2 linked regions of the Callithrix jacchus genome follow. The protein of the gene in region 1 interacts with the protein of each later gene in a biochemical or structural test. Links are inferred from orthologs where the notes say so. Each region holds a gene or a part of one and is shown in the gene's direction. Other genes may lie near its edges.

The links.
Region 2: the proteins of COPS7A (region 1) and COPS6 form a complex in vitro, tested with the Homo sapiens proteins (3 studies listed by BioGRID, with this or other methods). The link is inferred for Callithrix jacchus from reciprocal best matches to the Homo sapiens genes COPS7A and COPS6.

What each region holds. Positions count from the first base shown.
Region 1 is NC_133510.1:20,922,503-20,925,354, forward strand, and holds the end of COPS7A (COP9 signalosome complex subunit 7a), read left to right. Parts: intron 1-837; coding exon 838-943; intron 944-1,103; coding exon 1,104-1,255; coding exon of another isoform or gene 1,256-1,259; exon of another isoform or gene 1,260-1,272; intron 1,273-1,417; coding exon 1,418-1,457; 3' UTR 1,458-2,303; downstream 2,304-2,852.
Region 2 is NC_133503.1:13,493,036-13,497,144, reverse strand, and holds the start of COPS6 (COP9 signalosome complex subunit 6), read left to right. Parts: upstream 1-1,171; 5' UTR 1,172-1,184; coding exon 1,185-1,251; intron 1,252-1,473; coding exon 1,474-1,599; intron 1,600-1,792; coding exon 1,793-1,924; intron 1,925-2,571; coding exon 2,572-2,660; intron 2,661-2,760; coding exon 2,761-2,823; intron 2,824-3,074; coding exon 3,075-3,122; intron 3,123-3,210; coding exon 3,211-3,325; intron 3,326-3,410; coding exon 3,411-3,503; intron 3,504-3,603; coding exon 3,604-3,704; intron 3,705-3,834; coding exon 3,835-3,975; 3' UTR 3,976-4,109. UniProt on the Homo sapiens protein: Component of the COP9 signalosome complex (CSN), a complex involved in various cellular and developmental processes.

The sequences.
Region 1 (2,852 bases):
GGGGGATGAAGGAAAATGAGTTCAAAGGCTTCTGGGGAATGCAGGAGTAGGGAGGTCCTGGGAGGCGGCAGAAGTCAGTGTCCTTGATATAGTAATTCAGGGATGGAAAGGGAGTGAGTGGTACACTTGAGGGGATCCTAACCACTAAGGTTGTTGCCTTAGGCTAGATTCCAGCAGTTGGTCTACAATTACCATTGTCCACAGGCCATGGGCCTTTTCCTCCTCTCTTTTATTTTGTGTCTATCTAACTTCAGGGTTTCTGTATTCATTAAGTCACCTCTTTTTCTCTTTAACATCTCCTACCCTATTTGTTTTCAGTTCCTACCACCATCTTGCACATCACTCCAGGCACTTCCTTATCCCTCTCTGACCATACTGAGGGTCCATCTCACTGCTAGGATCATTGTCACAGATGGTTTCTAGGTGCCCTGGTGAGGGTTCCCAACTCAGACTCAAAATGCCAGAAGCTGTGTTCTGGCTCCGTTGCCCAGGTTGGAGTGCAGCAGCATGATCTTGACTCACTGCAGCCTCCACCTCCTGGACTCAAGCCATCCTTCCACCTCAGCCTCTTGAGTAGCTTGGGACTACAGGCTTGTGCCACTGCATCTGGCTAGTTTTTGTATTTTTTTTGTAGAGATGGAGTTTTGCCATATTGCTCAGGCTGGTCTTGAACTCCTGAGTTTAAGCAGTCTGCCCGTCTCGGCCTTCCAAAATGCTGGGATTACGGGGGTGAGCCACTGCGCCCTGCATCTAGGGTTCTTTTTGAATCTGTTTTCTGTGAGTCTATGATCGTAGATCTTGTCTGCTGAAACTTTTCTTCTCCCCTGACTCCCGCAGGTGTGTGGGCTGTGAGGTTGTGCTGTCAGGCATTGAGGAGCAGGTGAGCCGTGCCAACCAGCACAAGGAGCAGCAGCTGGGCCTGAAGCAGCAGATTGAGAGTGAGGTGAGCAGTCAGGGAGCAGGTGGACCCAGGCTCCTCCAGCCTGGGCCACTTCTCCTTTGCAGAGAGGATTTGGACAGTGGTTGTAGCAGACAACAAAATAAGCAGGGTCTGGAAGTTTCTGGAACCTTCCTTGCTATCCCCATTCCTTTCATCCTGGTAGGTTGCCAACCTTAAAAAAACCATTAAAGTTACAACAGCAGCAGCAGCCGCAGCCACATCTCAGGACCCTGAGCAACATCTGACTGAGCTGAGGGAACCAGCTCCTGGCACCAACCAGCGCCAGCCCAGCAAGAAAGCCTCAAAGGGCAAGGGGTGAGCCAGGGTAGCAGGTACTGCTCACTTCTGGAGTGCCCTGCTTTTACCCCAGGGACCTGACTGTCTTCACTTCCTTCAGTTATTTGCATGGGAGTAGGGAGTCGGGGGAGCCTTCAGAGGGGATTCCCTGCATTCTCTCTCTCTTTCTCTTCTTGCCAGGCTCCGAGGGAGCGCCAAGATTTGGTCCAAGTCGAATTGAAGGGACTGTCGTTTCCTCCCTGGGGATGTGGGGTCCCAGCTGCCTGTCTGCCTCTTAGGAGTCCTCAGAGAGCCTTCCTGTGCCCCTGGCCAGCTGATAATCCTAGGTTCATGACCCATCACCTCCCCAACCCCAAACATAGATCACACCTTCTTCTAGGGAGGAGGCAAGTGCAGGTCATGTTTTTGTTGGTACTTTTTGTTTTTGTGACCTCCTGTGTTCCGTTGCTTCCTGCTGCCATGCTCTCTCCCCTATTTCTCCGACATTTCCTTAAGAGCTCAACATCTGTCCCTGTTCATGACATGTCATCGAGTAGGTGGGTAACCTTGATGGGGTTTGCTCTGTCTCAAGCATAACCCACAGGCGTTTTTTTTCTCCCACCCCATCCCTGCATGCCTGATCGCAAATTCCTACACCTTACCCACCACCCCTGCATTGAGCAGCCTCTGAAGAGCCATAGGGCCCCCACCTTTACTCGCATTCTGAGAATTCTGGGGCCCAGTGTGGCATTCCCAGAGTCACTGGACACGTTCATCCGAAAATCCTGTCACGCTACAGTCATTTATTTTTCTCTCTCTGCCCTTTGGGTCCTGGGAATGCTGCGGCTTCAGAACCCAGAGCCTAAGAATGGCAGCTATTTCTTAACATGTTGAGAGATGGTTCCTTCTTGGCCCTGGCCATCTCGGGAAGCTTGATGGCAGTCCTGGAAGGGTTTAATCTCCTTTTGTGAGTTTGGTGGGGAAGGGAAGGGTATATAGATTGTATTTAAAAAAAAAAAAGGTATATATGCATATATCTATATATAACATGACACAGAAATAAATCTATGAAAAGTCTATCTACAAACTACCCTGAACTGGGTATCTTCTGTCTTTGATATTTGCGGATGGGAAGAAGACTCATTCCCAGTTTACTCTAAAGCACAGTGCTGGAAGATGAAGAGAACTGGATACTATTTGCTGCGTCTCTGCCTGAGGCCTAGATCCTGGGCTGTATGACTTCGGACACGTTGCTTCATATCTCAGCATCCATAGTCAGAAGTAATGACTATGGCCAGGCACAGTGGCTCACGCCTGTAATCCCAACACTTTTGGAGGCCAAGACGGGTAGATCACTTGAGGTCAGGAGTTTGAGATCAGCTTGGCCAACATGGTGAAACCCCGTCTCTACTAAAAATACAAAAAAATTTGCTGGGCATAGTAGTGCATACCTGTAATCCCAGCTACTAGGGAGGCTGAGGCAGGAGAATCACTTGAACCTGGAGGTGGAGGTTGCAGTGAGCTGAGATCATGCACTCCAGCCTGAGTGACAGAGTGAGACTCCATCTCAAAAAAAAAAAAAAAAACAGTAGTAATGGATACTTTCTGGGCATAAATACCTGACAGGCACTGGACG
Region 2 (4,109 bases), on another chromosome or scaffold:
GTGGATCAGGAGGTCAAGAGATCGAGACCATCCTGGTCAACATGGTGAAACCCCGTCTCTACTAAAAATACTTTAAAAATTAGCTGGGCATGGTGGCGCGTGCCTGTAATCCCAGGTACTCAGGAGTACCTCAGGAGGCTGAGGCAGGAGAATTGCCTGAACCCAGGAGGCGGAGGTTGTGGTGGGCCGAGACTGTGCCATTGCACTTCAGTCTGGGTAACAGTGAAACTCCGTCTCAAAATAAATAAATAAATAATAATAAAATCAGCTGGGTGTGGTGGGGCGCACCTGTAGTCCGAACTACTTGGGAGGCTGAGGTGGGAGGATCACTTGAGCCCAGGAGTCTGAGGCTGCAATGAGCTGAGATGAGACCATTGCACTCCGGCCTGGAAGATGGAGTGAGATCCTGTCTCAAACAAACAACAAAACCAGACATGAGGGCCAGTGCCGCTGAAGCGTGAATATCAAGGGCTAGAAAAGTAGAGGTCAGGCCAGGGCAGTTCAGGCAGGGCCTTGCAGAGTGTGGTCGGTTGTTTGGATTTTACTGTGAGGGCAGTAACACGACATTTCATTCATTCTGCAACAGCCTTAAGAACTAAGCGTTTTTGGCTAAGCCCGGTGGCTCACGCCTGTAATCTCAGCACTTTGGGAGGCCGAGGCGGGGATCACGAGGTCACGAGAGAGAGGCCATCCTGGCTAACACGGTGAAACCCAGTCTCTACTAAAAATACCAAAGATTAGCCAGACGTGGTGGTGTGCGCCTGTAGTCCCAGCTACTAGCGAGGCTAAGACAGGAGAACTGCTTGAACCCGGCAGGCGGAGGTTGCAGTGAGCTGAGATCGCGCCACTGCATTCCAGCCTGGGCAACAGAGTGAGACTCCGTCTCAAAAAAAAAAAAAAAAAAAGAACTAGGCATTCTTATCTCAATTTTACAGATGAGGACTATCAAGCCGTTAAGTAATTTGTCAAACGTTACCCGCAGGCGTCAGGAGGGGACAAGGTCTGCGAAAACCCGCGAGGGCGTCGGGATCCCTTAGCCAGAAAACCGTCAACCAAGCCAGTGAACTACCTACTCCTGGGACTCCTGGCCCGCCGCGCGCCGCGGGGACACTGAACATGCGCCTCTCACCTTACGGAAGCCGGGAAGGAAGGGGGCGGGGCCGAGGCCGGCGGGCGCGAGGAAAATGGCGGCGGCAGCTGCAGCTGCGAACGGGACCGGAGGGAGCAGCGGGATGGAGGTGGATGCAGCAGGTAACGGGCTGTGTGGGGGTGGCTTCCAGAGACCTCCTTCAGGGGTGCGTTGAGGCCTCCCTGTGCTCCCAGAAGAAGGGAGGAGGGCGGAACAGCAACATCTTTCCCTGGGATAAGTTGCGGGAGGGAAGTGTGGCCGGGCTCCGTCGTCCCCCACTGCCGTCTCCAGGGAAGGACGTGGGGCCCGGACTCTCACCCTCTCTACTTTCCCTCCACCCTTAGTAGTCCCCAGCGTGATGGCCTCCGGAGTGACTGGGAGTGTATCCGTCGCTCTCCATCCCCTTGTCATTCTCAACATCTCAGACCACTGGATCCGCATGCGCTCCCAGGAGGGGCGGCCTGTGCAGGGTGAGTGTTGGGCATAGCCTCCAGTCTCCTCTCCTTGCTTACCTCCCCCAGTCGTCTTTCCCTTTTTTTACTGGAGCCAGTTCCCCCTCCCTCAAGTCATCGTTTCCCCAGTACTTGGCTCCCACTGACCTCAGACCCTTAGGTGATAGAAGTTTCCTTACCCTCACCTTTTCCATGTCATTCTCTTTCCTAGTGATTGGGGCTCTGATTGGGAAGCAGGAGGGCCGAAATATCGAGGTGATGAACTCCTTTGAGCTGCTGTCCCACACGGTGGAAGAGAAGATTATCATTGACAAGGAATATTATTACACCAAGGAAGAGCAGTGTGAGCGGAATAGACGTGGGGAAGAGGAGTGGGAGTTAAAAAAAAAAGTACAGGGTGGGGAAGATGGAGAAGGTTGGAAATAAACAGGAGAGGAGGCCAAGAACAGAGAAGAAAAGGTTAAGAGAATTGCTGGAGAGATCTCAGAAAAAGAACACATTAAGAGTTCTTTCCCAAAAAGAAAGTAAAGGATAAAAGACAGGATAGAAGGGAGTAATTACTCTAAACTGAGCCAGGATTTGAGGAGCGGGGAGAGAAGCTGGTGAAAATACACCAGGAGCTTCACACAGAGGAAAGATGGCTTAAAGTATTACTATGTCAGGCTGGGCATGGACGGTGGCTCACGCCTGTAATCCTAGCACTTTGGGAGACCGAGACAGGCAGATTATGAGGTCAGAAGTTTAAGACTAGCCTGGCCAACATAGTGAAACCCCATCTCTACTAAAAATACAAAAATTAGCCGCATGTGGTGATGTGCATCTGTAGTCCCAGCTACTCAGGAGGCCGAGGCAGGAGAATCGCTTGAACCTGGGAAGCGGAGGTCGTGGTGAGCCAAGATTGCGCCACTGCACTCCAGCCTGGGCAACAGAACAACTCTGTCTCAAAATAATAATAATAATTACTATGTGTTTTGGTCCCTTCCCCTTCAGTTAAACAGGTGTTCAAGGAGCTGGAATTTCTGGGTTGGTATACCACAGGGGGGCCACCTGACCCCTCGGACATCCACGTCCACAAGCAGGTATACATCTCACACCTGTGCATGCTGAAGCAGAGAATGGGGGATGAGGGGAAGGAGAAAGGGGGGCACTGACTTCCTGTGCATCGTCCCTCTCATTCAGGTGTGTGAGATCATTGAGAGCCCCCTCTTTCTGAAGTTGAACCCTATGACCAAGCACACAGATGTAAGTAATATCCCATGCCTACTGTGTCATAATTGTTGCTGTACCTTTTGTTGTGTGACGGTGTATTGGGGAATGCCAAATGCCACTTATCTGCTGTGACTCTGGCTTAGTCATTTAATCTCCAAACTGTGTGAAATGAGGTAATCCCTACTTCATTGGTTTCTAGGGAAAATTAGCTGAGAGGAAATGTGTGAAATCGACTAGCCCCAATGTTGGCAGATAGTATTCAGGTTTCTCCATCTCCTCCACAGCTTCCTGTCAGCGTTTTTGAGTCTGTCATTGATATAATCAACGGAGAGGTAAAACCCTACCCTTCAACCCTCACATCCTGCTCTTGTCCTCTTTCCTGCTTTTGATTCTCCCTTTGTGGGTTACCTTGCCCTGTAGGCCACAATGCTGTTTGCTGAGCTGACCTACACTCTGGCCACAGAGGAAGCGGAACGCATTGGTGTAGACCACGTGGCCCGAATGACAGCAACAGGCAGTGGAGAGAACTCCACCGGTAACGGAGGGGATTCCTTGGAAGTGGGGGTGGAATGTGTGGCCACATCCTGTCCCAACCTCCTCCTGTCTCCATCCCCTTGCAGTGGCTGAACACCTGATAGCACAGCACAGTGCCATCAAGATGCTGCACAGCCGCGTCAAGCTCATCTTGGAGTACGTCAAGGCCTCTGAAGCAGGTAGGTCAAGGGCTTCCCTGACACTTCCCTGGGGTTCTTCCTCTCCCTTCTGGGGAAGTGACAGCATCCAAATTAATGCAGCCTCTTTTTGTGCCTTTAGGAGAGGTCCCCTTTAATCATGAGATCCTGCGGGAGGCCTATGCTCTGTGTCATTGCCTCCCAGTGCTCAGCACAGACAAGTTCAAGACAGACTTTTATGATGTGAGTGTAAAACCCAGATGGGGAGGTGGGGCTTATGCTGTCACTTTCACATGCAGGACTGGGGACTGTTGTTCCCTGGGCATGCCACAAGAGATCCCCTGAAGAACTGGTCCTTTATGTTCCCTCCCAGCAATGCAATGATGTGGGGCTCATGGCCTACCTCGGCACCATCACTAAAACGTGCAACACCATGAACCAGTTTGTGAACAAGTTCAACGTCCTCTACGACCGACAAGGCATTGGCAGGCGAATGCGCGGGCTCTTTTTCTGATGCGGGTACTTGAAGGGATGATGGACAGGGGTCAGGCAACTGTCCCAAAGCGGGGGGGCACTAGAAACCGCTGTCATTTATTAATAAAAGGGGGAATAGCCCCTGAGCACCCCTGCCGGTGGCTCTGTCCTCTC